Danio rerio: one gene and its partners. The protein of the gene in region 1 interacts with the protein of each later gene in a biochemical or structural test. Links are inferred from orthologs where the notes say so. Each region holds a gene or a part of one and is shown in the gene's direction. Other genes may lie near its edges.

What was found.
Region 2: the proteins of cdk9 (region 1) and gtf2f1 form a complex in vitro, tested with the Homo sapiens proteins (2 studies listed by BioGRID, with this or other methods). The link is inferred for Danio rerio from reciprocal best matches to the Homo sapiens genes CDK9 and GTF2F1.
Region 3: the proteins of cdk9 (region 1) and ccnt2b form a complex in vitro, tested with the Homo sapiens proteins (4 studies listed by BioGRID, with this or other methods). The link is inferred for Danio rerio from reciprocal best matches to the Homo sapiens genes CDK9 and CCNT2.
Region 4: of the proteins of cdk9 (region 1) and ctdp1, one has a biochemical effect on the other in vitro, tested with the Homo sapiens proteins (3 studies listed by BioGRID). The link is inferred for Danio rerio from reciprocal best matches to the Homo sapiens genes CDK9 and CTDP1.

The regions. Positions count from the first base shown.
Region 1 is NC_133196.1:7,394,393-7,403,141, forward strand, and holds the start of cdk9 (cyclin-dependent kinase 9), read left to right. Parts: upstream 1-3,346; 5' UTR 3,347-3,369; coding exon 3,370-3,410; intron 3,411-3,787; coding exon 3,788-3,901; exon of another isoform or gene 3,902-4,052; intron 4,053-5,876; exon of another isoform or gene 5,877-6,226; coding exon 6,227-6,308; exon of another isoform or gene 6,309-6,343; intron 6,344-6,634; exon of another isoform or gene 6,635-7,204; intron 7,205-7,411; exon of another isoform or gene 7,412-8,051; coding exon 8,052-8,142; coding exon of another isoform or gene 8,143-8,148; intron 8,149-8,749. UniProt on the Homo sapiens protein: Protein kinase involved in the regulation of transcription.
Region 2 is NC_133178.1:32,751,024-32,758,983, reverse strand, and holds part of gtf2f1 (general transcription factor IIF subunit 1), read left to right. Parts: intron 1-1,702; coding exon 1,703-1,856; intron 1,857-1,937; coding exon 1,938-1,996; intron 1,997-2,100; coding exon 2,101-2,232; intron 2,233-3,138; coding exon 3,139-3,212; intron 3,213-3,533; coding exon 3,534-3,675; intron 3,676-5,038; coding exon 5,039-5,171; intron 5,172-7,960. UniProt on the Homo sapiens protein: TFIIF is a general transcription initiation factor that binds to RNA polymerase II and helps to recruit it to the initiation complex in collaboration with TFIIB. It promotes transcription elongation.
Region 3 is NC_133197.1:11,830,677-11,837,493, forward strand, and holds the end of ccnt2b (cyclin-T2b), read left to right. Parts: intron 1-392; coding exon 393-556; intron 557-745; coding exon 746-816; coding exon of another isoform or gene 817-858; intron 859-1,529; coding exon of another isoform or gene 1,530-1,535; exon of another isoform or gene 1,536-3,564; coding exon 3,565-4,497; 3' UTR 4,498-5,829; downstream 5,830-6,817. UniProt on the Homo sapiens protein: Regulatory subunit of the cyclin-dependent kinase pair (CDK9/cyclin T) complex, also called positive transcription elongation factor B (P-TEFB), which is proposed to facilitate the transition from abortive to production elongation by phosphorylating the CTD (carboxy-terminal domain) of the large subunit of RNA polymerase II (RNAP II).
Region 4 is NC_133194.1:12,888,622-12,896,581, reverse strand, and holds part of ctdp1 (RNA polymerase II subunit A C-terminal domain phosphatase), read left to right. Parts: intron 1-534; coding exon 535-676; intron 677-2,393; coding exon 2,394-2,621; intron 2,622-7,960. UniProt on the Homo sapiens protein: Processively dephosphorylates 'Ser-2' and 'Ser-5' of the heptad repeats YSPTSPS in the C-terminal domain of the largest RNA polymerase II subunit. This promotes the activity of RNA polymerase II.

The DNA.
Region 1 (8,749 bases):
ACATCAATCCAAATCTACTTGAGCTGCTCGTGTTTACTTGGATTTGACGTACTTGGTGCATTGAGTTCATATTTCTGTTTCATTTTTTACACTACAGTTTGTTTTAAACCAGTGTCTTTCTCTAAAATGACAGTGAGAGGTTGCCTGTCTGTCAGTGTTTGTGGTATTTTTATTATTGCACTGATGAATAATGTGCCATATATAAAACACTGTTCTCTAATTATGTAGTAATATATGATTTCTTACTCATGCATGGGGAAATTTGCCTTTATACATGCAAAAAGATGATGTTCAGTGCATGTAAACACTGAGGTTTCCACATTTGTTCATGCCACATAAACACGTTGAATTTGTTGTCTATATATATAATATACATCAAATGATTTTTCAATGAAATCTGACTTTTTACATTTGTAATGACACTGTTTTGTAGTATTTTATGTTCTAATAAGTGTATAGCTCAGGGGTGTCCAATCTCAGTCGTGGAGGGCCGGTGCCCTGCTGAGTTTAGCTCCAACTTGCCTCAACACACCTGCCAGGAAGTTTCTAGTGTATCGAGCTAGAGCTTGATTAGCTGCTTTAGGTGTGTTTGATAAGGGTTGGAGATGAACTCTCCAGGACACCGGCCCTCCAGGACTGAGTTTGGACACCCCTGGTATAGATTAAATTAAAATGGGTTTTTTGAGTATGTTACAACACTTATTATGGGTTGTTTTTGTCATCTGTGAAAGACTGGAGGATTAATATAAAATCTAATGTGAGTAAATATTGGTTTGGATCAATAAAATTGATACCGCTCTTGTCTTAAAGTGTCATAAGGTGCTATTAAAATGTTCCAGGTACTGTACATACCAGATTAAAAATTATATGAAAATATGTAAGAAGTTCAATTTTGCGTCTGCATTAATTCGTAGTAAATGTACGCATTTCATTTATTTATATATATATATATATATATATATATATATATATATATATATATATATATATATATATATATATATATATGTATATATGTATGACTTAGGCTATAATTCACACAGGCTCACCAAAATTAGGCAATAGAAGATTGGAGAAATGTTGCCTGATCTGATGAGTCTGATCTGGCATCAACAACATGAAAGCATGGATCCATCCTCCCTTGTATCAACAATTCAGGCTGCTGGTGGTGGTGTAATGGTGTGGGGGATATTTTCTTGGCACACTTAGTGGCCCAATAGTACCAATTGAGCATTGTGTCAACACCACAACCTACCTGAGTATTGCTGCTGACCATGTCCATCCCTTTATGACCACAGTGTACTCATCTTCTGATGGCTACTACCAGCGGGATAACGCACCATGTCAAAAAGCGAGAATAACCGGAATTCCACCGGGTGCTCCGGTTTCCCCCATAGTCCAAGCACATGATACAGGTGAATTGGGTAAAACTAAATTGGCCGTAGTGTATGTGTGTGAATGAGTGTGTATGGATGTTTCCCAGTGATTGGTTTTAGCTGGAATGGCATCCATTGTGTAGAACATATGCTGGATAAGTTGGTGGTTCATTCCGCTGTGAAGACCCTGGATAAATAAAGAGATGAATGAAGCCCCTGTAGTGTAATTTTGTTTATTCTATGTTTTGTAATTTATTTATTTTTATTACTATTTTATTTGTTGATTGTCTTTATTATTTGCGCTCAGTTCTGTATATTTAGATGAAAATATTCATTTGAATTTCGCTGCATTGTCTTTGTGTTTTACGTCAATAAAAAAAAGTAATATGTCATTGTGAAATTAGTTTCATGTAAATTGACTCTCCTGCATGTATTTTATTTGTATTAGTATCTTTTAATGCTTTATTTATGTTATTATTATTATCACTTAGCGGTATGATACATGAATGTGCTCCAAGCAGGTTTTGCATCTCGTTTATATACACTATAAGGAGCAGCTACGCTAATTATTATCTTTATTCTCTATTTTCACCTGGGGATACTCATCCCAAGGCCCTCAGACTATGCAGTCACTGATTCGATCCAAGACCAGCGATGACATGATCACAAGTTTTCCATAATCCTGGACCAGGCTGTATCCTGGCTGCTGTGGTGGTCATTGACGAGTGGAGAGCATGGGACTGATTCCTGTGACTCTTCAGGGACTGACGAGTGTTCGCCGAGGTCCAGCCTCCGGCGCCTTGACTGCAGTTTGTCGTGCCCAACTGAGTCTGGTTTCTCTCAAGTTTTTTTAATTCTTCACTTTTCGCCAATTGGTGAAGTTATTTCCTCGCTGCTGTGGCCACTGGCTTACATGTTTTAGAATTTGTAGAGCTGCGCATTGATGGATTTGCTCTTCAGTGTTTAGACCAGGGGTCACCAAACTTGTTCCTGGAGGGCCGGTGTCCTGCAGATTTTATCTCCAACCCTAATCAAACACACCTGAACAAGCTAATCAAGGTCTTACAAGGTATACTTGAAACATCCAGGCAGGTGTGTTGAGGCAAGATGGAGCTAAATCCTGCAGGGACACCGGCCCTCCAGGACCAGGATTGATGACCCCTGGTTTAGACTCTTAGTAGTGTTTATTAAACCACACTAAACTGAGCTAAACTGAACTGAACTTAAACACTGAAAACTGAACTGATACTATTTCAATTTACTATGATCTTCTATGTGAAGCTGCTTTGACACAATCTACATTGTAAAAGCACTATACAAATAAAGGTGAATTGAATTATTATTTAGTTTTTGTTAATATTATTATTACGAACTATGTTGTTAATTATATGGGTAACACTTTACAATAAGGTTGCATAAGTTAATGTTAGTAAATGTATTTACTAACATAAACAATCAGTGAACAATACATTTATTACAGTGTTTATCAATGTTAGTCAACATAAGTTAATGAAAATACACTTGTTCATTGTTAGTTTAACCTACAGTGCAATAACTAATGATCTATAAATGCAGTACAAGTAGTGTTCAGAATTAGCTCACGCCAGTAAATACATTAACTAATGAAACCTTATTGTAAAGTGTTACCTATATAATTAACAATATAGCACATAATAATACTAACAAACATAAATAATAAAAACAAAGCATTACATGATACTAATACAATTTAAAACACATGCAGGGGAGTCAATTTACGTAAAGCTAATTTCACAACGACATAATATTAAACCTTTTTTACTGCTGTATAATATATGTTTAACAAAGGAAGTTGAAATGACTGTTTATCATTTGAAGGTTTGAAAAAAGTGGAAATAATAATAAACAAATAAATAGCTTTACGTAATCATTGTTTGTCTTCCGGTCGGCAGGTGGTGGTAACGTGTTTTTGCGCCGCTGAATCCGTCCTGGGAACCGCAGAGGAACAGCAAGGATGCAGCGCGACAAAACCGGAAGCTCTGGCGGCGGTGAAAAGTACGAATATTTTACTAATTTTATACACTTAACGTTCATTTACACTGTTAAATCTCGCATTTTATTACATTTTAATATACAAAGCACACATTTGTACTGCTATAACATAGCTAGTCTCCAAAGCGACGCTGTAAATGTGATGTTTGTGTGGGGGTCTGGATTTGTGTCTTTGTCGGGCCGAAAGAAAACGCGAAGTGATCCACACACTCAAAACAGCGTCATAAAAGACCAAATAGTTCTTTAAAACAAGCTTAATTATAACATAAATCAGTAAATAGCGGATTTGTAGTTGTACTTAGCGTGATATGTGTAGGCGGAATGAAGTAATATCGCCTTGTTGTAAAACATGAGTGTGTATTTGTGTTGTTTGTGTTCAGGCCGGACAGAGAGACCGCCATCATGTCCAAATACTACGATGGCGTCGAGTTTCCCTTCTGTGATGAATTCTCCAAATATGAGAAGCTGGCGAAGATCGGACAGGGCACCTTTGGGTGAGTATTTGATGTTTGTGTGTGTAAATATACCATAATGTTTATCATCCAGTAACAGACCATTTTCACATGGCGTCCGGTTTCACTCCATGCAGTGTGTCGTTACTTCCGCCTACATAGAAATCCCCATATGGCCCGTTTCCACTGAGTGGTACGGTTCGGTTCGGTTTGGTACGCTTTTATTACAAAAGGTGGCGGTAGGACATAATTCATTCAAATGAAGAAACTGAACAAAACATTAATATTTCAGTAAATAATAAATGATGAAACTGGTTGCATTTGTAGACATAATGGAAATGTTGCAAACACATGCTTTCCCTGATAAACCATAGCTTATTCATGTTCTTAACAACTTAATCATTTTCAAACTCAGAAAACAATTCAGTATTGAAAGAGACACATTTGGACACATGGCCAATACCAATAATAGTGTTAAATCAGATCGTGCAATCTTAAAGGGCCATGAAACCCCCTCGTTTCAGCAGGGTGTTTTCACACCTCTACTTTGGAAAAAGTCAGAAAAGTGGGCGTGTCCAGCTCTGTTTAGGGGGGAGTGTCGGAGGAACTAAAGTGGGATGGTGTGGGAGTGTCTATTTGGACACGCGCGAGTTTCAGTCAAAATACACACAGACAAAGTGATGGTGTTTAACCTACATGGACATCTGTAGTCAAATTATTTGCCAAGTTATTAAATGTTGGACTTTAACTGCAGTTTGGCTCTTTCATTCAGGGAATTCATTCATGCCCCTCGCGACAAACGAGATATTTGATTCGAGGATCTGCTCTAAGCGTGTATTTTTCCTGCAATGTTTGATACCGCACGGCGAATGAGAGAAAAAAACCCTCCGCATTTCCCGGAAACTTAGATGCACACAGCAGGTAGCGTCAGAAAGCCGCGTGTGTTATTCCGGCCACAAAATGCGGTGCTAACATGTTTGCACTCAGTGCAATAGTTAACTTAATTCAATAAGAACAAACTGAATAAACAAAGAGCACTGGTCGCTCACTTACCAAATCTGTAGAGACAGGACAATCACCAGCAACTAGAGCCGCGTCTTTATGGAGAGAATACTACAAGCGAATCCGGATCTCAGCGTTTGCAGATGAGAACAGCTCTCAGGTAAACAATAATCCTCCTTAAACACGCAAGTTATTGTTGTCGAGCGTCTCGTACACTAATCCACGCGTGACTCCAGCTGAGCTCTCACAGAGAGAAAATGAAAACAAAACTTAACTGCAGCAAACTATAAAAGCAACACTTCACGCTTGTTTTGCCAACGCAACTTGGCGTCTCTGTGGTGTAAACACGGTGACACTAATGGATATTAATGAAGTTGCACAATAGAGCGCGCTGATTGGTTTGACCCAAGCCTTACTCATGCATTAATGCATCACACTGTAAGACGTAATAAGACTCACTCTAGCACAGACGCCCAGTCTGCACGCTGAAATACACGCTATTATGTCATGACCGTGACGCAGCTTCAAAAATTAGTTTCAAACAGGAAGTACGAATTTGCTTGAAATAACGCAAAAACAACCAATTTACACTTTTTAGTGAAATATAGGTGTCCTGATAGTATTTTTAGCAGTGTGGGACACATATACGACTGTCAACACCTCAAAAAATGTGTTTCGTGACCCTTTAATATTTTTATTTTTAAATTTCCTAGAGAAGTGTCCCATTCATTTAAAGGTGAACCGGAACTAAAAATACACTGCGTTGCAGAAAGGAGGAAGTGAACTGACATAATTGGGATAAGGGTCTGTTCACTGTCTGAAATGATGAGTGTATTGTCTGACTTTCTTATTTTGTAATGTGAGAGCATCCATTTGTAACACTTGAAGGGATACAGCTGCTTCTGGGCATGCACACAATAATATTGTGGCTTTTTTTGTAGGGGTAGGTCATTCTTTTCCTTTTGTTTTCAGCTGTACAAAACTCTCCATTATGTTGGTTAAAGTTACAAACTAGTATTTCCTATGTTCTTTTGATAAATTTATCATGAATAAAATGTTCCCAGATGAAAGTGAAACCACCAAACTGCAGTTAAAAGTCGATAATTTATAAATGAAATGCTTGAAATGACATGAAACTCCGAAGGAAATGTATATAGCGTGGTGACACAATGATGTTACTTAATCTATGTACTATAACATGTAAAACGGGATCACGAAAAGAACATTCAAAAAGCAGCTCAATGTAAACACCTCAATCGTATTATTGTCTTACTCAGATTAAGGCAAATACTTCAACTAATCATGTCCATATAGACATGGTCAGTGAGGGGTTTAATGATTTGATTTGTTTTTTTCTCTTTATAGAGAGGTCTTCAAGGCTAAACACCGACAGACGGGGAAGAAAGTGGCCTTGAAGAAAGTTCTGATGGAGAATGAGAAAGAAGGGGTAAGAAAATGCACCTCTATAATCTATTAAGTAAGGCAAGGCAAGTTTGTTTATATAGCACATTTCATACACAGTGGCAATTCAAAGTGCTTTACATAAACAAGAATAAAAGAAAAAAGTCAAATAAAAACAAATAATAAAAATGCGTCAAAACATAAAAACAGGTAAAATATGACATAAAAGAATGAAGAAGAAGAGAAAAACATGATAGTGCAATCTGTCGGACGCAGCACAGTGCTCATTCAGTAAAGGCACAGCTAAACAGATGTGTTTTCAGTCTTGATTTGAATGTGCCTAATGTTGGAGCACATCTGATCATTTCTTAGTTATATTGTTGTATAAGGCACTGTTTGCATCTAGTAATAATATATATTAGTAAGTCATTGTAATCACATATTAATGACATTTAATACGGGAAATAAAAATAATCTAAATAATTTTGAGCTTTTTTCACTTGCATCCACTTCCAGAGGCTGTTAAAAATGCAATAACATTAATAGTGTACACACTTATGTGGTCAAATGTCTTTAACTAGCCTAAAAAACCTCCATATACAGACCTCATTTATAAAAAAAAATACATGACATAGTGTTCATGCACACAAATCAGATGGGATTTAACCTCTGCCATCTGTAATTGTAGCTTTGGTTTGAATATGGAGAGATGTAAAAAATCACAAAGTTGTCTTAACAATACTGACCTCACTCCTATTTTAATAAATAAAATTGTTTTGTTTAAATGCACCAAAATACAGGCCTCCCACATTTCTTGAAAATACATGAACAATTTTAGACATTTGGATTCAAGGCCTGGAATGTACTTAAAAACAAAACCAGGTCCTTGAAAGTGCTTGAGATAAAATATAGTGGTTAACAATTGTATAGTGGTTAAAAATTGTACTGTGCTGTCGACGCCAGTGGTGTAGTGGTTAATGCGCTGACACATGCACACATGACTCACGGCAACCCAAGTTCGATTTCGCCTCGCGGTCCTTTGCTGATCCTTCCCCTCTCTCTGCTCGCAATGCTTTCCTGTCAATTCTCTCTACTTTCCTATTCAAATAAACGTGAAAACCCTGAAAAAAAAATATTTAATAAAAACAGTTGTATGGTGCTGATGTCAAAAACTGGAAAAAGAGAGAAATCCTTCATTTAAAAGTTGCATTTTAATCTTGTAGAAGAATCATTTTTATCAGTGTTTCAGAAATTATATTTGGATATTAACAGTATTGAATTCAACTCATTTTAACTCATTTCAAGTGTTTTAAACATGACTGTTTTAATGACACCTCAGTAACATCATCATTACTATGATATTTGAATGTAAAGTATAAGTTAAATGTTATGTACAGTAGGGGCTTTCATGGTACTACATATGTTGGTGGTGTGAATTACAACAGTGCTTGATCTGAAATCAATAGTGCTTTAAAAAGTCATTGAAAGTCCTTGAGAGTGCTGTTTATGAAACAGTGGAAGCCCTGAAAATATATTGCCTTGCCTTTTCACTGAGAAACAGATACAAATATTTATTTTCAAGGGCATGTACACATTTATGCTGAGCACACTGCATTATTGTAAAAAGTCTGTATTATTAAATGTTTATAAATGTGTTTACTTTTATTGTATGTTCTAAAGTTGTATTATTCTGAATAGTTTTTACCATGAGACTACCCAATGCATGTGAGATGGCAATAAATAAATATACAATATTAACCTGTAAGTGTATCTGTGCTCTTCTCTTCAGTTTCCCATCACGGCTCTGAGGGAGATCAAGATCTTGCAGCTTCTCAAACACGAGAATGTGGTCAACCTCATCGAGATCTGCAGAACAAAGGGTGAGGGTGAGGATAAAGTCCTGTTTAATACACTTTCCATTCTGTCGCTGCTCTCATTACTGCTGTGTTTTACAGAAAACAGGTTGAACGTGATAGTAAGTGAAAACTGGGTTAGTCAGAGAGAGCAAAACACTATCAGGCTGCATTTACACTGAATAGTTCAAGTGACTCAATTCTATTTTTTTTTCCTCCCATGTGGCACAGATCGGATATGGCTCATGTACATGCTAGCAGTAATAAAATCACATATATTCCGATTTGCTCAAATCAGATTCAGGCCTTGTACATATTTGTAAATTTATCTGTTATGAATCGGATCCATGCCCTCTGCAGTGTAAGCAGGTAGATCAGATTTTCACCTCTCAATGCAAGTCGCGCATCATTAAAAACCATAGTGAATGATGTCAACTCTGACGCTGTCATTTCAGAACAGACTTCAGCAGAGTTGCAAACCTTCAATCTCATTCACGAGCACTAACCAAGCTTTTATATTGTCATGTAGCACTGGTATTTACGCATGTTAACGAGAGAGAGATATTAAACTGTTGGATAAATCACGCGTGGACATTACATTAAAATGCCTACTGGTTTAAAAAGGCCTATGTAG
Region 2 (7,960 bases), on another chromosome or scaffold:
TTTGTCAATGTCACCAAAACAGCTAAATCTACTGTTTGCTTCATATCTGCGCTTTGTTGTTATTTTTTCTGAGAGAAATCATGAGTATGAAGTGCAATGTAGGGCTAAATCAAGTTTCACACAATCATAAGTGAAGAAGCTGCATACACAAGGTGTCCACAGATTTTTAAAGTCTTAAATTCCATAGTGCAAAGATAAGGCCTTAATTAGTATTTAAATTGTCTTAAATCTGCATCTTAAAAATGAAATCAAACCAACCTCATAAAGAAGACATTGTTTCAGTTTTCTATCTAATTTTCACCCTGAACTAAATATGCAGGACACAATAAAGTAAACCCTCATGGGTATTTCACTTACACAAGCAAATTTTGTGGGGATTTCACTCTATTATAGCTTTTTATCACGGCTGAAAGAAACCTGTCATGATTTTCTTGAACAATATTGCGATTTCAATTTTAATCACGTTTTTGACACACACAGGCGTTATACAGTGTGAATGTGAAATGTAATTCCAAAGGAAATTTATTAAATCTTTCTTTATAAAGACTGTAACGTCTCCAAAACAGACATAAAGCAAAAAAAAAAAAAAAACACCTACTGAAGGTCTAATAAATTGTCTCTAGATAAAACAAATAAATAGACTAGTGTTTGTGCGTACGTGCGTGTGCGCACACACGCTTTCAAACGATGTTCTGTTTGACCACATATCAGAAGTAGTTATGTGTACTTTTGTATGTGTCCACAAATTTATTTTTGCCATGCATAGCTCTTAAATCTCTTTGTGATGCTGCCGTGAAATGGGCCATTCACATATTGCATCTTTTGCATAAGTTAGTTATTTCCAATGGAGGTGCCCAGCTTACACGTATATTGGGAGTGAAGCATGTATTCCATGCACACGCAGTTGAAAACATCTCCACTTTTGAGAATGCTGCACTGCGAGTCACGTAACAAGAACTGACATACAAGTGACATGCCTTCCCCTTTCCATATGCTATAAGATGCAATATTTGACTGAGAGGTCTTATGAATTACCTGATTCTGTGATACATCAGTCTTCCTCTATCCAAAGTAATCCCACACCCCAGATGTTGACTTTTTTTGGGCACCAAGCCCTCCTGTGCTGAACTCATAATCCCTGTTATGCAGTTTATTTGTCATTAATCTCAATCACCTGTTCTCGCGCTCTGTTTAGGCGTGCTACATTATGATTGGTTCAAACAGCATAATGTGGGAAAATCTGTAAAGCGATTTAGATATCACGTGTGTTCAAATCAGGATTTTGATACGATTTCAATTAATCCCACATCTCTACTTTCTATAAATAATAAAGAGTGTTTCTGGCTCAATACTATTAGTAAAATCTATCAGCATAGTCTACTGTATACAATTTTCAACGTTCTGTTAAATGTGTTACCTGTGCAAGCAGTAGCCTGTCACAGGGTACTAGACCATGTGACCAATCAGAAGAGGCTCTTGGAAAGAGGGGTTTAGAAACGATAAATCAAATGAATGATTTGAGCTCTGTGAGAAATTAGATCAATTTAAATTTAAGCATATTTTGAGAAAATAGAGGCCTTTTGTGAGTGTTTTTGAATGTGGCTGCTTGTAAACTAATTGTAGGAGATCTTTAAATTAATGTGAAAAACATTTTACATGGCATAATAGGGGCAGTTTAAAAAAATATCTTCTTTTATTGCAGATGATGAAGCCAAGGCAAAAGCTAAAAAGGAAAAAGGTGCCAAAGGCAAGGGAAAGAAGAAGAAGAAAAAGGGCAGCGACTTAGAAGGATTTGAGGACAGTGATGATGGTGACTTTGAGGGTTTGGAGGTGGACTACATGTCTGATGAGAGCAGGTGATTTTAGTGACACAAATATTCATATGGTCATTGTTTTGCAGTCTTAATCATCATCATCGCCATTCTTTTTTCCTCCAGTTCTGAAGAAGAAGAACCAGAGAAGACCAAGCCAAATAAGGGAGAGGATGTTCCTAAAGGTTGGGGATTTAGAAGGTTTTATTCTTTTTGCAGGAATGAGCTTTGTCTAGTCCTGATATATGATTTGAGATGGCTTTGTGAAGCACTGATGGTTTTCTTTCAGGGATTGATGAAATGTCTGAAAGTGAGGAAGAGAGTGAGGAAGAGACCAAGAATGAAGAAGAGAATAAGGAAGAGGAAGAGGAGGAAGATGGGAAGAAGACGCCAGTGCAGGTGGAAAAGAAGAAAAAGAAAGGTACGAGCAACCTCATATTATAGTTGTATGTGATGTTTTTTTTCTGTTCAAATCAAGGCGTGTAACTTAAAAGTCTTACTTAAATAAAGAAAGGCCTTTTTTTAAAATGTATAATTTTTAAATGACAAAAAACTTTTCATTTATGTTTTATAGATGAATATTTCTGTAAAATTACAAAAAAAAGAAAACCCCTTAAATAGGCAAATAAAAGAGGCAAAAAAATATGACTGATGAAGTACTTTTTAAAATGTAAATTTAAATTTAAATACTTAAAATATGGTTAGGAAGCATATCTGAGTTGCTTTTCTGAATGGTTTGTGTCTGTTTTAGGATTTTAGCAATTCCTAGAAAATTAGAACCTCACAATATAAGTTGCACCAGCTCAGAATTGTATTGTTAGGAGGAAAAAAACACACAGATTAGCTGTTTTGGTGTTGAAGTGATATTTTACAATTTAATTCAGAAATAACACAAAAAATTGGCAACTACTAGTCCTAAATATAACAAATTGTTTACAAAATGTATTTCAGTTCCTTTAACTTCAAATAAAGGTCCTTTAATGTAACCGTATTCAGAAGAGAAAAATAAATATAAGTAAAAAAAATAAGTATAAAAATGTTTTTTTGGGGAATTCAATAAAGTATGTTTGTGATTTTATTCAAGCCAAAAAAAATTTAATTTTAAGAAATGCTTATTAATGCTAATGTGCCTTTATCATTTGAGACAAATTCAAATCTCTGCATATTTTGAGCAAATTTAGCTTGTTTAATGCTATTTGCATTATGTAAGTTACTGTATAATATAAGTTGCAGCTTGTTTCAGATAATAAATATATGTTCTACAATACAATTTATTATTTTTAAGATAAAAGGTACTATTTGATATTAAAATCCTTATGTATTTCAGACAGCAGCGGCGAGTCCGACAGCTCTGAGGACAGTGATATTGAAGGAGAGGCAGCGTCAGCACTGTTTATGGTGGTAATGGCCTATATTTGTGTGTGTGTGTGTGTGTGTGTGTGTGTGTGTGTGTGTGTGTGTGTGTGTGTGTGTGTGTGTGTGTGTGTGTGTGTGTGTGTGTGTGTGTGTGTGTGTGTGTGTGTGTGTGTGTGTCTGTGTGTGTGTGTGTCTGTGTGTGTGTGTGTCTGTCTGTGTGTCTGTGTGTCTGTGTGTCTGTCTGTCTGTCTGTCTGTCTGTCTGTCTGTCTGTCTGTCTGTGTCTGAAAAAGAAATATGGATGTTGTGTTTTGATGACATTTCATGTGAATATGGTACAGTGCTTTTTTCTTGTTGTCTGTCACAGAAGAAGCGCACACCTCCTAAGCGAGGAGGTGGCCGTGGCTCAGCAGGCAGTTCAAGAACAGGTAGTCGACCAGGCACACCATCTATTGATAATGCTGCCACTTCCAACACTCTCCGTGCTGCTGCCAGCAAACTGGAGCAAGGTACACTCAACAAAACTCAGTTATTAAAAATTATATTCAAATGTATTAATTTTTATGACGTTGTGGTAGTAGATATAATAAAAAATACTAAAGCCACCTTTCCACTGCACAAAATACACCCCCTTGTGTCAGTCACATTGAATATTTTGTTTTGTCATTTACCATGGTAAGTGGATTCCAGCGGTGGTGTCTAAAATAATGGAGTGCAAAAGCAAGAGCCTTTAGTTGAATGAATGAATGAATGAATACTATAAACTCATCATATTAATTAATTACTCATCAGGGAATGTGGAGACAAGATTAAAAATTACAATATTTTTTATTACTCTTTTATGAATAGAATTTTATTAGACTTATTAGACTTTTTTTCAGATTCTAAACGAAATAACGAAATAAACTCCTATTTGTCATCTCGCGCGCATGGACCTGCTTGGACAACACTGGAATACATCACATCCGGTCGGCTGGTCACAGACGGTGTAGTCGCAGGAGTTCAGATCAGATCCAAATTTTCTGCATATCGGAACTCCATGCAGCTCTTGGACTACTCTCCATTGAAAATGAATGACTTCCAGTCTGTCGCTTCTCATGTGCTGTGGAAAGGCAGCTTAAGAATAAAAAAAATTAGTAGTACTTACTTTTAAATTAGAATTTTGAATCAAACTTGCAGTTAAAACAATCCCCCAACAATGTTAGTTTTCTTATTTAGTCTCCCTTACATCAGCATTGTGTGTGTGTGTGTGTGTAAGCAGTGTGTGTGTGTGTGTGTGTGTGTGTGTGTGTGTGTATATAAGCAATAATAATAGAAAGAATAGAGACAAAGTTAACATGACTATGGAAAAATATTATATATATATTTTTTTTTATCAAATAAATTTTTTATTTTTTTTTTCTATTAACTATTGCTTCCAATTGATTGTCATTTGAGATTTGATGCTCTGTAACAATCATGTGACAATTTGTGAAACTTCACATCATATTTATGGTAATGTCAACTAAAAGTAATGGTTATAGTTTTAACAAAATGCATTTTCTTACGTCTGCTGGGGGTATAAGGATTACTGTCGTGCTCACTTTGTGTGGTTCAGGAGCTTCCATTAAGTGCTTCCATCATTCTGTTTCTAAAATGTAAATTTGTGTTCACAAAGTAATGTTTAACTATGATGCTGTGTATATGACTAATTGATGACCGTGTTCAGTTTTGGTTTGAGTGCCACTTTAACACGTTATTAAATCAAAAGCTTATACTATTTGCCTAGTATTTCCTTATTTAATTTTGTCTTTCTTTTTAGTTCAGAAGTTGTGGCAAAACTCTTAGATATAAACTCTTAGATATAAACATGTTTCTGCACTTCTATCTCAGGTAAGCGACAGACAACTGTGCCGAGCTCAGAAACTCCAGCAGCCAAGAGATTAAAGATGGAGCCCAGTCCTCAAAGCTCCTCAGGGAAAAGCACACCACAGCCAGCGTCAGGGAAATCCACCCCCAGCGCCAGGTACTTCATCCCCAGAGCCATACAATCATCATCTTGTTCTCTTTAAGGCTTGTGCACACTGGGACCTTTTTTGTTTGCGCTTATCGTCAACATTTTCACTTGGGAGCAAAATCACTCTTTGACGTTAGATAGAGCTTAATGAAAAACAGAAATACCCTAGTACACAAGCGCAGTGCAACTTTGTGTGTTTGACACTTGCTTGTTACATAGAAAAAGAGCATTTATGCACCTGTTAAAACAATCACACAGTATTTGTTAACTGGCAAACAAAACAAGGTTGTTTCAAGAATGAAATCCTATTTGATCTGCAAATCCTCTCCATAACAACTCCCTCTTGATAACATTTTTGTACTCTACAAACAGCTCCACATTAGGGCTGCTCGATTTTGGGAAAAATCATAATCATGATTATTTTGGTGAAAACTGTATTTACGATTATTCAAAACGATTATTAGTTGAATTCTAAATTATTACCGCTCCTGAGATTTTTTTTTATTTTATATTTCCCAAAAGATGTTTAAAAGAGCAAGGAATTTTAACAGTATTTCCTCTAATATTTTTTCTTCTGGAGAGGCTTATTTGTTTTATTTTGGCTAGAATAAAAGTAGGTTTAAATTTTTTGAAACCAATTTTAAGGTCAATAATATTAGCCCCCTTAAGCTATATATTTTTTTGAATCTGCAACTATATATATATATATATATATATAGTTCTTTTCCACCCTGCAAAGGAAAGCGAAATAAATACAATAGTATAAAAATATGAAATAAACTGTGATTTAAGCATCTTCACCGTAAGAAAAACACTTTTAAGCTAAACACTTAAGCTTCTCCTTTTGTTTGATTAATAATCATAAAAACAGGTGGCATCAGGGATATTGCGCACGGTCACTTTAATGGTTTCTCTTTCACGTGTCTTTTGATTTTCAACTCGTTTGTTTATTACACAAATGACGGTTAATATGAATAATTACTGAACACCACGTTTTGACACCTATTTGACCATTAAACGCTCACATTAAGATGACTTAAGGTGTGTGCGCTCTGCACGTCTCAGTGGGCGAATGAGACCGAATGCTGACCACATGCTTCTGACTGAACAGAATCACACGCACAGAAACATGCGGTCAAGCAACAAAAGGTGGCGCTATATGATGCAATAATTGCTTATCCCGATTAATGGTTTTTCATAATTGTTAGAAGCCAAAATTGAAATCGAAATCGGATTTTCGATTAACTGCACAGCCGTGCTCCACATTCAACTTGCCTTCTAGCGATATATGCACAGCTAGTGTTCCTCCCCATACTGATAAACTTATAGTGAATAATTGATTTGACTTTTTTCAGTTTTGGTTTCTTTTACAGCATTGATGTTGTAAAGTAATAAAAATAAAATCAGTTAAATAGACTTCAGCGTTGATATGCAAAGCCTTTTACACATACGCGCCCATAAGGATAAGCAGGCTAGTGCAGAAGCTCCAAAATAAACGTTCATATTTTAAAGACATGGTGGGGAAAAATGTCATTTATGCAGTGCTTGTACATTCTGAGACCTATTTATATATTGTATATCACTCAGGCAGTGGAGATCGTTGGTTTTTAAAGAAAACAGACCTTAAATGCTGCAATAATTGTAACAGCATACATAAAAAAATAAGAGTCCTTTTGCATACTTCTGCATATAACCTAGTGGTGTTTCCAGTAGCTATAGCATCTCCAGACATAAGTAGCTTCCTATCGGTTTACTCATTCTAATGTGACGCATAAAACAACAACAAAAAAAAGAGCAAGAGTACATTTTATTTTTATATATGACACTTTAATTCTGCCGTTTTGTGAAATTGTGGGCACGCTCACATTGGTGACCATTTGTTTAGTCATGAAATGTTACACATCAGCGGTAAGCATGAGTGAGAATTGTACGGTTTGCACAGGCCTTTAGCTTTCAAATGTTTATTCTATCCTTCCATCTCTGAGAATTTTACTTGGTTATACTTGCATTAAGCCATGGAGTGCAGAATTAAAGACTGTGAAGTGGCATGATATATTCAACAAAATCAGAATGAGGTTGTTTCAAGTGTTTGAAACAGCTTGCCAAATGAACTTTCTAGAAAACATCTCTTCGGCTAGCACATTTCAGAGCAGCTTCAGTAAAAACTAAAGTAAACCAGCAACACTAGCTATGTTTCCTTCCAAAAATGTGAATTAACTTTATTCGCACACCTTTTATGCGATATTCTAGTTTTGTGCATAAAGCAAAGTTTCCATCCAACAAGTCAAACAAATCAAAATTGTCACTTCCTAATTAACTGGCGTCAAATATCAAAAGTAAAAGGAACTTAATTTCCTGAGGTATGAGAAGCTGTGTGAATCTTTTACTTAATTAAATAAATGACTTGTGCCTCAGAAGATGATGCTGACACGCAGTTAACGCACAGCACAGACACTCTTAGCAGTTCTGGAGGTAATATAATAACACTAATACTGAATTGGTTAGGGTGTTTCAGACTGACCAAAATAACATTTCATGTTTTACAGTGTGCTAAGCCTGCTGGTTTGTCGACTCACACACATCTTTTATCATCACATAATCAAAATCAATGACTTTTTTTAATGCGCATACTAAAATTTGTTTAGTGAAAGTCTTTATACGCATTTTTTCTTATCGAATAAAAAGTTATTTTTATTTAACTCTTTAACTTCTTATCTTGGCGTTTTTTATTTTTGGCGTTTTTTACGTTTTTTATTTTATGTGCATGTTGGATATGCGTATAAATAAAAAAAAAAAGT
Region 3 (6,817 bases), on another chromosome or scaffold:
ACCGATTTAGCGATCAAAAGATAGTTTGAAGCCAGACTTTGAGCTGGATTGGTCATTAACTCAGCAGGAAGTTGAGTCTCTTTTTAATACCCACTCGCTGAGAGACTGTAAATGAATGAAGCTGTTGATTGCAAAAACATGGCATTTGAAGTAAATGAGATCTGTTGTGTGCTGTTGACTGAATCCATTTCATGCCATTTTGTTTTCCAGCCGGCCCAGACAAAGAACATTCTAGCAAACACACCTGATGGACTATGATCAGCTTTGACATTCACAAAAAAAGTTTAAGAATAGAAATAAACTGACCTTAGGTTTTTAGGAAAGCGTGTCTTGTGTCCTCAGTTTGTAATCAAGTGTTTTCTGTGTTTTCTGTATTCTTGTCTTTCTTGCAGTCTGCATTTGACCACCTTTTGCCTGCAGCACAAACCCACAGTGGTGGCGTGTGTTTGTATTCACCTGGCCTGCAAGTGGTCCAATTGGGAGATTCCAGTCTCTTCAGATGGGAAACATTGGTGGGAATATGTGGACCGGGCTGTGACTCTACAGCTGCTTGATGGTCAGTCATAAAAGAGGGGAGGGGGGTGATTATTTCTTTGGTTAAATCCATGTTGATCGATCTCTTGTTTGAGGTATTTAATTTCTCAGGCCACTTTAATTTTTTTAACCAATTTCTCAGTTCATTTTAATTGGCATTTATCATATTATCTATTTTGCTAAGTACTAAACGTTGTGCTTGTCTTTGTAGACCTGACTCATGAGTTTCTCCAGATACTGGAAAAAACACCAAGCAGATTGAAAAGAATCCGAAACTGGCGGGTTTGTATTAATATTTTTGTTTATATGAAAGAAATATGCAAAGTCAGAAACATCACTTTGGGTGCTTTCACACCTACACTTTTGATTCGGAACCGGTCTCATTTGCCCAGTTAGCGCGGTTCGTTTGGCATATGTGAACAGGGCAATCGCTCTCTGTTCCAAGTAATCGCTCCGAGAGCGCTTGAATGAGGTGGTCTCGGCTCGATTAAAACGAACCCTGGAGTGGTTCGATTGCAGTGAGAAAGCGATCCGATCCGAGCGCGGTTATATTACAGTGTTTTATGGATATGTAATAGACTTACAGCTCTATAAAGAGAGAATTATGAGTAGGGCGGGAAGTTTCGCGAGTCTCCGGATGCCCGCAAATGAGTGATGATCTCCCGGTAATCTTGCGTCTCCCTCCCGGTCCTCAAATAGGCATCGTCGCGCACCCTTCTCACCCCTCCCCACCCCATCTCTCCTCAGACACGTCACGCACGCGCACCCTGTCAATCACCACCAAACCACCACCTCTCCTGACAGCTGAGCGGGACGCTGCAAAATAAACCCTGACACTCTGACCAATGTAAGGAGAGTTTACTCGCACGTGACTTGTTTTAGCTCTTTTGGTCCAATTAGAAACTTTGCAGTGTGAAAGCGAACCGCTCCAAGAGCAAAGAGCAACAATGTAACATTTGTAATCTCTGTTTCGGAACAACTGAATCGATTCACAGGTGTGAAAGCACCCTTACTCTCGTGAGGCACTTTAATAGGTAGACATTGCTAGTACTAGATTGTGATCCTCTTTTGTTGCTAGAACGGCATTAATTCTTCATTGTGTAGGTTCACAAAAAGTGAAGAATTTATGTGAATTTTCTGTTCACTATATCAGCCTTCTACAAACCTCGGTTGTTTAGAGCAGTTATTTGAGTAAAGTCTTTGCACACTGAAGTTCGAAATTTTGAGATGTGTTTTTTTCGTATTAATATCTGAAAAAATCATCACGTAAACAAACTTTGCTCACCGAGTCTGATGCGTATTAATAAATCAATTCATTACAAAACAACATAAAACATTTCAGAGTCAGTTCAAGTAGTGATACTTTGTTCTTCTCCTTAGTAGAAAATAAGAGAAATAGGCTACAGATTATCTAATTCTGCATAGAGGAAGAGAGTTCAGCTCATTATCAAAGAGCTGTGCCGGAGTATCCCCAAATGCAAAGCATATTTCAAGACATCGCTGGAATTTTGGTACATTGCTTGTGATACTTCACACATTCGCGCATGTAAACAAATCCTGAACAGAGACTCGCAGTACCTTGAGACATTATAATAGATGACGACCACCGTTGATGTTTCGAAGCAATGGAACGAAAGCGGACTATGCTTTCTATTATAAGGTCTGTGGGCAGTACGTCAAATGTATGAATACACATAGCAGCAGATGTTAGCTAGCACAAGGTATTTGTATCATTTTGTATTGAGCTTTTCACTTCTACGGTGGCTCTGAACTGTCGAAACACCTCAAATCGCTTTTCAAATGCACAAAATGGAAATATCGAACCTAGTTCGAAATTTTTTTTTTATGATAGACAAAAGTTTTGGAGGCAGTGTGTCAATACAATTCACACAACGTGAGGTCAAATTTATTTTTTAATGTGCAAAAATTACGGATAAATTTTGGATTCGGTGTGCAATAACCTTTACTGTTGTCTTTTTATCAACTCTAACCAGTCTGAATTTTCCTCTGCCATCAGCAAGTTATTTTGGTCCACTTAATACAGGTTATCTGTAGGTTCTTAAGTCGCAATGTCTTAAATTTCAAAAACTAAATTTAAGGCTCTAAAAAGTCTTAAATTCACTGAAATATTGTGTTGTATGTTTTAAATAATTTTAAACAGGTCAGTTTTTTTCTTTCCAAATTAAGCTACCCAATTGGGCCGACATCCATCCAATCACCAGAAATCCATCCTAATAAAATCAGGGAAAGACAACTAAAAACAATTACACAGTTCCTCGTGATAATATTAGAAATACATTAGGTTGAATAGAAGTTATACTTGATCAGTTAGTACCAAAAGCCAACAAATATATATATTTCTGATAATTTATGTAATTGCCTCCACAATAAATGTGCTTTTAGTAATGTTAAACATGTCATAAAAGAAAGAGATATAATATTAAAAGTAGTGTGTCAACTAGAGTTTTCTTGTTTTAGCACATTTAAAGTACATCGCTAAAAAGAAATTAAATCCTTTTTTCTTTTTTTTTTTGTGGCTAGCAAAAAATTAAATTGACCCAATAAGGATAATAGGAATAATCCTAATAAAAGGAAGTGTTTTAGCCCTGTGTAATTCTACAATTTCATTCATAATGGTTGTAGCAGGGTCTTAAGAAGTCAGTTATGACAGTTTGACTTGAAGAAACCTGCAGAAACCCTGTAATAGTCCTTTTTTTTTTTTTTTTTGGACCCATTCTCTGTAAGCACCAAAGACAGCGATATGTGAAAATACCAGTAGGCACCAACAGTCATTTCACTTTCAGCCACTTAAATCACATTTCTTTCTCATCCTAATTTTCAGTTTGACCTTCAGCAGATCATCTTCATGTCAACATGCCTAAATGCATGTAGTTGGTGCCATGTATAGGCTGATATTTGTGTTAATGAGTACCTAACAAAAGTGGCCGACGAGTGTATCTTTGGACATTTTTGTGACACATTTGATTGCAAACTCAAGTAATGGTCCAATTATTTTCGTTCTCGTTTTAGGCCACACAAGCTGCCAAGAAACCAAAACTTGACAACCAATCACTAGACGGATCTTTCCAATCTCTCAACCAGGACACCTCGTTGATGAGTAGCATGTGTGACCTGGGAGCGGGCATGTATTCTGACCCGTCCACCTCTTTCCCGTTGGACGGGTCTTCACTGTCTCTTAATGGCCTGTCGAACTTGCAGAGTTCTGCTTTCGGCTTTCCTGCACCAATCTCTCAAACTGCCGATGCTTTTCTTGCACTCCAGGCGGCTCCGACAAGCAAACATGGACATAGCTCTGCCACTCTGGCTCCTCAGAAACTCACTCTAGAGAAATACCGTGAAAAACAAACCGAATTAGAACAGAGACGCAGACATGAAGAAGAGGACGGTGATCAACATCGAAAGCACGGCCATTTGACATCCGAGCCGTCTACATCTATCAGGCTGAAGTATAATCAACAGCAGGTACTGGAGCGACCGTCGAAGAGCGGGTCACTCAAACGACGCCACCCTTCCTCATCAGAGAATGGTTCCGCTAGTCAAGAAGAGCTGAAAATGAAGATCAAGGTATCGTCTGACAGTAGCGGCAGTAGTAAGAGCCGTCACAGTCCACTCTCCAGCCGAGAGAAGCATCGTGAACATTCATCCCACAAAACAGCGAGACACGATTCGTCTCACTCGCATGGTAGTCATCACCACCACCACCATCACCACCATCATTCATCCAAATCTCACAGATCTTCCAAGAGCCACTCCTCCTCCGCCTCCATATCTGTCAATCAAGCGATAGGCCAACCGCAGTTGGCGAAGATTGACAGGAGGATGGGGGAGGGGCACGGTTCTGAGCCCAATGCTGCTTTAATAAATAATGGTCCACATATGGATTATGAAGACACTTTTAATATGCTTGATTCCCTATTAAATGCACAAAACTTCCAAATTTAAAGGAAAAAAAATCTGACGTTTTTACATAAACCCTCAAAAAAACGTACGATTGTCGTTCTCGTGCTAATTTTATGCAAGGATCACTCGTCCGTTAAATGTCATAGTCTCTTTGATTGGTTTTATCACTGAAGTTAAAGAAAAAAAAACTACAAGGTGTGAAGGTTGTGTCGACGTTTTAGTTTGAGCAACAATTGTGAATTTACAATTTTAAGACTTTCGTAGAGCTTGCTAAAAAGAGATTGCGAAAAGCCTTCGGCGATCTTAAAGTGTTCTAGTTGGAAAAGCGCAATGTGATAAAGTGAGTATGTATGTTCTTCATGCTTGATTCACAATTTTTTCGTTTATCAAAGGGATGAAAATAGAAACGTGTGACTGTTTACAAAAGGAAGGTGCAGATATCTGTTCACTGTTATTTGTATCAATATATATCTATGTTTAATTCTATTTCACGATTGCTCAGGTTTGGAGGTTCTTAAAGGTAAAAACTTCACGAAACTTCACAAATTTTAGCTGGAATTTCGCAAAAATGCCTGTACACAATTCCATTATATAGCTTTCCATATATTGTAAATTTTATTGTACTGTAAAGTATCCGTTTTACATTATCCTTTGTTAGAAAGCCGCACCGATGACATCAAGGGTCTTTTTGCGTAGTAATTATGTCTTACGACTTTAAAGACATTTATGCTTGTAATTCGTTTCTTTTTTTTGACCCTTTACAGTAGTGGAAAGCAAAATGTCATTTTTCACTGAGAAATTCTTTGAGTTTTGTTTCGTGTGCCAGGTTTGAACGGTCAAGATCGCGCCCCAGACTTATCAGCTGATCTATTTCTGTTCATCGTGGTGTGCGTCGAGCCTTAAAACTGTATGATAGAGATTTTAGCAGCCTGTGTGTGTGTGTGTAAATGTCCCATTTCCTATGATCTCAGTATTTAAGATTTACGTTTCCATCTTCTCTCCTCATTGATTCTGATTGGTTAATAAGTGGGCTCCCATTCAGATCAAGCAGCAGTTAACTTTGTTTTTCTGTCCGGTGCTCTTAAAACGGCATTGGGACCATTTTGAAGGTTTTGGATGGAGGGTAAAGAGGAGAAATTCACTCTAGATGTGGCCTAGACTCCTGTTGTGCTGTCAAAAAACCTCCTCTCACCAGATACCAAAGGTTTGTGCCTCAGTGTTTGCCCACCGTTGGAACTGTATGAAACTTTTAGGTTTCTGTCTTTTATTATTTTATTGGAATGCCACAGTTCTTTATAATAGTGTTAGATCTGAGTCTGTATGGATGATGTTTTGGATTGTCTAATAAACATCCAAGAAAATTGCCTATCAAAATGGTTTGTCTTCGTTTTTATTTTAAATACCGATTTTACATGCATCTTATAAAATAACTGCTGTTCACTTGCAGAAAAATGGGGGTTGAGAGGGGAAAAAAAAGCGCCCTGGTCATTCAAAAAACTGCAGTTTTTGTTCGTTCACGCACCATATGCTTACACAGCTCCCTATGAACAATATTTTGAAGATCAGCATATTTGCTGTAACATTGCTGCCCCAGTAAAACAGCTCTTTTAAATCATGATGTCATATCCTGCTGGCTTTCATCGTCCCAAAGCACACAAGGCTCAAACCTGACATGTGAAAATCGCTTTATAAGCAAACGCCCATATTTGCTGATCAGTAGATCCATGTGTTTTTTTTCCCCCTGCAGTGGAAACATGCATACTTCACAAATACGATAGCATGGTAGCAAGTATGCCATTTTGAAGACGATCAGCTTGCACAATTCCTCTCCTCAGCACCAGATGGAGCTCTTGAGTCACGCGTCTCCATCATCCAGTGGTTCAGATACCCTCAGGTACGTGCTGATCAAACTACAGCAGACATCACAAGACAACCTTGTTTCCCTACACGCTGCTCTGGTTTATGAAAAATGTCAGCTTGTTTTTCCGTTGAAGCATTTGAATGCGGAAGGCAGATCTGCAATAAACCAGGTGTTTAGATGTGTATCCTGTTAGCATACACCCCATCTGCCTCTGAACTCAATGCAATTTCTTCATCTTACTAGCTTTTCCCATAGGTTAAGCCTCCACTTGTAAAATGCATAATCATTAGGCTTTGATTCATAGTATTAGCATGGGTTTAAATGTATCTGCGACCACTTCTGTTCACATTTTGAGACCTTTTTATTTTATTTCGTATTAGGTAACATTACTGAAAATGATTTAGATGGCAACTATGATTTTCAGGGGAGTCTGTATTTTTTGGTGTGCCAAAATTAAATACAAATACCTTTGAATTTGCTATTTTGGAGCTTTATCAAATT
Region 4 (7,960 bases), on another chromosome or scaffold:
CTGTTAGTTTACTGTGGTGTTTTACTCAACAACTGTTCATGTTCGCCATGACACCATATGTTTTGGTCGTTTCGCTTTTACTTTTGCAACAAGTTCAACTGCAGGCAATTTTCCTCACTATGCATGCTAACCGACGACGGTGGATACAAATTCTCATGCAATAGGCCACCTCTGCCATTTCATTGACTTACTTTTATTCATGCCTCTGAGACAAAGACGCACTATTTTTTTTATGCGCATATTCAAAATGCACATAAAAATAGGTGGATGAAAACATAGCTACTGTAGCCTGTGCAATTTAGCATTAAAACTTTATTTATATGATAAACTTTGATTGAAAAAAGAAATAGAAAAATGTTTTTTGACTTTTTTAGTAGGTTTTTTTATTGCAACACATTCAATTCAGATTGCAATTTTCTTTTGCTGTGCTGCTGCCTTCTGCTCTGCTGATAGTGGAGAGAAAAACACCGACCGATCATATTTCACATTGCAGTGTGGTTTATCTAAATAGTGTTTTGTTTGTGTCTCTGTCAGGTACAGAGAAAGTTCGTCAAGCTCTGGGTTGTAAACATCTCCATGTGGTAAATCCTGATTGGTTGTGGGCTTGTTTGGAGCGCTGGGAGCGAGTAGAGGAGCAACTCTTTCCTCTCAAAGAGGACTATAACAAATCACACAGGTATTTATCTTTTACAGCCTTCTACTTCTTTTTCCATCCTTTATGTTCACTTGTGGCTTTCAGTATGAAGTAGGTATTGTCAGTATTTTCTGTTGTGACTGCTGAAATTTTCATTGTGTTGTTCACTCATCACTACAACGCTCATGAATAGAACATGAAGCATTCAACAACTTATTATTTTTCAGCTTGCACTGACACTTGCAATATTAAAGTAATATTAAATAAATCAGTTTCCCTAAAACTTCCTCATGGCACAGTAAGGGAGATGCTTAGCAGAACGTTGATGTAAAGTGAGCGCTGGCCATGAGTCAAGCAAGATTTTTTCCATCTGCTTGTTTACACATAGATTTCATATTTCTTCAATCGGAACTGAACTATGTGTGTGCAATATGACGATTTTTGATGGAGGATGATTAAAATGTCTCCATGATCTGCTTTGCGAGGTATATCATAATATCGTGCTTCTCATTATACACTATAAAAAAGTTGACTCAACTTAAAGTTGTAAGGCAACTTGCTGAAGAGCTTTTTTGAGGGCCCTTTTACTCCAATACGTTTTTGTTTTAAGATGGCGTATTAGAATGAAAACGATCTACGTTCGCACTGGCATTTCATCTAGCCTTTCTGAACAGAAAACGCACATTATGTGACCATACATGCACTGAATGCTGCTTCTGCATATTCTCGTGTCTGAGCTCCAAGCAGTCAGCAGGAGCTCTGAGCACACTTGTCCGGCTGAGAGCAGCTGAACGTCGGCCAGTTTGTCCCGAATTTGCTGCTGGATCTCATCTCTCTGTAGTTGTTAAACACGATTTATAACTCATCTTGTGTAGACTTTTATTTAATGAGTCGGTCTTTTGAATCTATTAGCCCACTTGTGCTCAGGTAACGTGTTTTGGCCGAGCGTAAAAACAAGTTAACATATTAATTTATGTATGCTGAGTCTGCATGTTTGTTTAGAAAGTTTTGAGGTCTGTGTTTAGGCAGCTTATACAAATAAAATGAAAGACTACAGCCTTGGCTGTATAGTAAAACAAGAGAGCAAGATCTCATGTAATATCGGAGATCATGTTAGTAGCAGATGTTAATGCTGACCAGTAAAGTCAAATAAACCTTACCATTATGTCACTAATTTACATCTTGCAAGATGTTTCCTTCCACCCAAGTTAGATCAGGGTGAAGGCTAGGTCATGTCAACGTGACCCATGAGACACATCAGGTGGCATCAGTTCAATTTAGAGAAGATGGGAGGTTTGCTTTTCACACCTTTTGAGGAAAAACACAGAGATCGCACTTTGCAGATACAAACACTTGGAAAGAACATCTAGTACAAATCATAAAGATTTGTGTACAACATTTTTCAAATGTCAAGCTACAGAAAATACCCAATTAAACAAAAAATAAAATGTAGATACAAAACTTTATATAAAACTATTACTACATAAAGAAGTAGCTTAACTTATAAGTAGCATATGTCAGCATTATAAATATAATTAAAAGCACATTTGTAATTATAAATAATAATAATGATGATGAAAAATAATCAATATAGAAAATATAACAACATTAGAAATGTTTATGTACTACATTCTGTCATTTATTAATCACCACAACATATGCATCATGTTAAAATAAAGTAGTCTGTACCCCACATAACTGGTTGTCATAGCAGTTGATCTTTATGTTCATGTTTATTATTATTATTTGTTTCATTCAGGAGCAACAGTCCCGGTGCATTTCTAGACATCCATGGGTCTGCCCCGAGGCCTCCCTTCCAGGCCCCTCAGGTTCAGCCTAAGCCGCTGCCAGCACCCGAAATGCGGACCTATGATCCTGTCACTGGCAAACTGATCCGCCGCGGCCCCCAGGCCTCCCGCCCACCTTCATACCTTCACTCACATCCTTCATCATCCATGTCGGCCAAGGGTGATCTCTCAAACCTCAGGTACTTGCTATATATATAATTTTTATGCGAAGTCTGCTCATCATAATGTCAGTTTTATACTAATGTTTTGTTTTTCATTCAAAAATTACAATTCTGTTATTAATTATTCACGTAATTATTCCTCGTGTCTTTCCAATCCCTCGAGACCTTTGTTCATCTTCAGAACACAAATTAAGATATTTTAGATTAAATCTGAGAGCTCCCTTATCCTCCATAGGCAGAAACAGTCATGAGACATTCATGGCGTACTCACACTATGCTATCCGAACCGTGCCCAAGCCCATTTCCTGGATCGTTTGAGAAGTGTGAGTGCTCTGAATCAGGCTCAGGTACTGTTCACTTGGCTGGCCCTGTCCTGGCTGTGCCAGAGCGGGGTTCACTTGGACCCCAAAACTGAAGACGAGGCGTGACTTTTACATGATTATTTCATATGGATTTTATAATCATTCTTACTGTTCAATGAACGCAGAGTCATATATAATTAACGACGCAAACCCCTCACTACACGACAGCTGCACCTTTAGCAAACCTCCTAATTCCTGCAGCATTAGGACTTTATGATCGTTTACGAGTGTCAAAAGTGGCTGACCTGTTCTGCGAAATATTTGACAGCATGTCACTGCATCCCAAACGACTAAAACAATATACCTAAAGAAATCTCCACTGTGCTGAGAAAATGGAGTTCTCTACGGAACAGCGCATGATCGATCACTCAAGCGTGCCCAGGCCCGAATATAATGTGAGTGTGGGCCGTCGGGGACACAGTAGGGGGGAGACAGGAGGCGTGCTTTGGCCCGTTTTAAGGCAACTGTACATAGTGTGAGTACGCCTTCAAAGTCCAGTAAAGGACCCAAAAACATTGTAAAATTCAATGTGTAATCATAAGAAGCTCAACTATAGACGACGAGTCTTCGCTGAGGCCAGCCTCCAGCCTCCACCGCTGAGACTGCAGCTCTGCACAAGACTTTTGGCCAGCGGAGAAATTAAAATGGTCTTGCCGAACTGAGTCTGGTTTCTCTCAAGGTTTTTTTTTTCTTCACTCTCCTATCAGCGAAGTTTTTTTTCCCTCTCCGCTGTCGCCACTGGCTTGCATGGTTCAGGATCGGTAGAGCTACGCATCGATGAATTTGCTCTTCAATGTTTGGACTGTCAGTAATGATTTTAAACCACACTGAACTGAGCTAAACTGAACTGAACTTAAACACTAAAAACTGAACTACCCTGATCCAGTTATTATGACCATTCATGTGAAGCTGCTTTGACACAATCTACATTGTAAAAGGGCTATACAAATAAAGCTGAATTGAAGTGAATTGAACTATAGCATGGTGCCACATCTACTACAGACAATATAATGCTTACATATTGGGACTCTAATGGCAATTGGACATATTGTCTATAGCACCCTGATCTGATGGGGAAAAGAAGACATTGATGTTTTGTTTTTTTGGTGCATAAATGTGTTCTTTAAGCTTCATTGTTTTTGGTTCCTTTTCTGGACTTCAAACGTCACAGGACTGTTTCGGTCTATGGTGGATGAGGAAGACGCTTTTCCTCACGACACTCATGCAGAAACAATCTCACACAGGCTAAATATGCCAAAATAACATCTAAATACTCATCTTTGAAACACAATGGGAAATGTCTTAAGTAAAAGTAGACAAGTTGAGGAAAAAAATTCTTAGCTTATTAATTTTTTTTAATTTTAATCAGCAATAAATAACAGTATTACTGTTGCACTTGCCTAAAAAATCTTTCTTTGTTCTTGAAGCTGTTTTGATCCCATATAATAGTCTTGTATAATTATATATTTTTATTTTAATTATTGACTTCACTCTAATGTTTTAACTATGCAAGTTAGGTTATTTATTTTCTTCTCTAATGCTAAAAACTGTCATTATTATTGGTTCAATTTATTAGAACGTTACGTGGATAAAAACGTGGATGAAAATAACAAATATGCGTGTTTTATTTGTTTACTATTTTTTTCACTGGGTACATTGGCCTGATCAAACCAGCAGTAAAAATTCTTAACCCCAAAATAAGTATGATCCCAAATTTTATACTTGAATTAGGTTTTATACGTCACAAATTATGACAAAGTATAAGATCATAGTCAGAATTGCATTGCAGTTCAGTTGTTTCCAACTGAAAAATTGCTAACAATAAAACAACATATTATACTACTGGGCAAATATATGACCGTTTAAGAATTTGCAACTCACAGGAGCTATTGTAACTCACCTGATCATGTGACATTCAAACAATTTAATTAAAACAATCTATTTTTTTATTTTAAAATTTATTTTTATTTCTCTTTAAAAGCCAACAACAAGACTTAAAGAGCTTTTAGAACAAAAAAACAAAAAACAAAAAAAAAAACACACACAAACACACACTCACATTTGTAACCAGTGGGTTAATGCTTGAGGTTTTAGTTCTGGCAAATTAAGAAATGAAGACATGCATACAATTGTATTATTTAATATAGCATTATTTTAGTATCACGATTTTTTTTAATACAATTTTTTAAGGTATCGTATTAAAGTTTTATCATGACAATACTTCACAGTACATTAAGTTATTTAAAAAGAGCAAGGGAAATAAAGTTAGGTCTAACTTTATTTTAAGTGTTGCTTATTCCTGTAAATTTACAATTAACTAGATGTGTAAGTAGTATGTAGTTACATTGTATGTACACACTGGTACATAGTATTGACTTGTGTAATATTGGTGTAATTACACACATGTAACAACCTAGTGAATAGTTTAAGTTCAAATGTGTAACAGGACATTACTAACACAATCTTTGGCAAACTAGCCCTTAAATGTGAATTACGGATGTGATTCTACAATTTACCTTAAAACAACATATAAACATGAGGTATTTGTATATTTATATTTACACATACATTTTTTGGCAGAAGTGTGCTGTTGGTAAACAGTTGCACAAACGTTTAGGTTTTATATATTACACAGTAATTTGTGACCATTTTATACTTTATATTCAGTGGACAGTTCCTGAGGATTTACCCTGTAATTACCCTGATATTAATAAGTGAAACCTTCTGATGCAACGTTAGTTCTGCCATTCTTATTTTAATACAGTGTTGAAATACATGTCATGCAAACAGGTGTTGAAGTGGGAAAACCCCTGCAAGAATATTGTTGTTACACAATGCACTTATGTAATTCTTGGTACAGATGTGTACTTTCTTATTGTTGTTACCAATGTCCAGTTACACGTTTGAACTTACACATACTATTAACTAGGTTGTTACATGTGTGTAGTTACACCAGTAATACACAAGTAAATACTGTGTACCAGTGTGCACATACACTGTAGTTACATACTACTTTTACATCTAGTTACCATGTAAGTTCACAGGTATAAGCGACACTTAATATAAAGTGTGAACAGCCCCTTTAAGCTATATATTTTTTTGCCAAATTATGTTAACCTGCCTTGTTAACATAATTAATCTAGTTATTTCTTTAAATGTCACTTTAAGCTGTATAAAAGTGTTTTGAAAAATATCTAGTCAAATATAATTTACTGTCATCATGGCAAAGATAAAACGAATCAGTTATTATTATAAATGAGTTATTAAAACTACAATGTCTAAAAATGTGTTGAAAAAATATTCTCCCCGTTAAACAGAAATTAGGTAAAAAATAAACAGCATGGCTAATAATTCTGACTTTAACTGTATTTATATTTCTTAGGCATGTGTATGAAATGTATGTCTTTAAAGCCGTGTGTAGGCCATGTGCTGTGCTTGCCGTTTCTTTCGTATTGGATTTCTCATGCTGTCTATTTCGCATTAATCTCTGAGCTCTAAATAAAATCTGTGAGAAATAAAGCATTGCGCCTTGGCAGCTCTGAGATTGTGAAACAGAAATTATTAGCAAATTTCATCAGCACCTTTGGCCATTGCTGTGACAAGGGAATAATAAAAACAAGCCTGTAAACGCTGATCGAATGAGAGGAGGAGAATTCTGCAGCTTCTGCGTCAGCATCTGATGAGGGGAGAGAGAGAGAGATGAATTAGCAATGAGTCCAGCTTAGGAACAATCATTATTTGCTCATTATTATTATACTGACTTTCTGCAGTGATCTTCAATGAGATCAATGACTACAGCTATCAACATGAAGACAAAAAAGATCATAAAAATGGGTCTGTATAACTATTAGGATCAAAAGTTGTATAGTTTGATCTGTTATCTAAAGGTATCTTAACACTATAAAGATTACTAATACTATAGATAGAGTAATTGAAGTATTACACAAGTCTCGTGTAGACCATTTATTGTATCCTTATGATGTTTTCGTGGTGCTAAACTCCTGCCCTCATGAAATATAAATGCATGGAAATTTATAAAAAATGCGTACCTCTCCAGATAATGGATGGAGTGTGTATTAACTGATTGATTCATAGGTTTCTGCACTCATTGGCCACTTTATTAGGTACACCTTATCAGTAGCGGGTTGGACCTGCTTTTGCCTTCAGAACAACCTTAACCCTTAATCTCCTGATCCACCACATTCCAAAGAGGTCATTTAAGTACAGTTAACTTATTTTCATGTTCAAGAAACCACTGTGCAATGATTCATGCCATCGGAACACTGTGGTAATAAAGGGATGGACATGGTCAGCTACATTACTCAGGTAGGCTGTGTCGTTGACACGATGCTCAGTTAGTACAAATAAAATGTCCAAGAATTGTGCCAAGAAAATAGCCCCTATAGCATTATACCACCACCACCACCAGCCTGAACCGTTATTACAAGGAAGGATGGATCATCAGCACCTTTGGCCATTGCTGTGACAAAGAAATAAAAAAATAAGCCTGTAAACGTTAATACAAGGCAGGATGGATAAATGCTTGCATGTTGCTGATGCCAGATTCTGGCCCTACCATTCAAATCTCGAGACTTATCAGACCTGGTAGCGTTTTTCCGATCTTCTATTGTCCAATTTTGGTGATCTTGTGCCAATTGTAGCCTCGGTTTCATGTTCTTAGGTGACAGGAGTGGCACCTACTGTGGTCTTCTTCTGCTGTAGCCCATCTGCTTCACGGTTGGACGTGTTGTGCAACCTTGAGATGCTCTTCTGCATACCTCGATTGTAACGAGTGATTATTTGAGTTACTGTTTACTTTCTATTGGCTCAAACCAGTCTAGCCATTCTCCTCTGACCTCTGCATCAATGAGGTATTTGCGCCCTCAGAACTGCTGCTCACTGCATGTGTTCTCATTTTCTGACCATTCTCTGAACTATAGAGATTGTTGTGCGTAAAAATCCCAGTAGATCAGCAGTTTCCAGTCCGTCTGACAC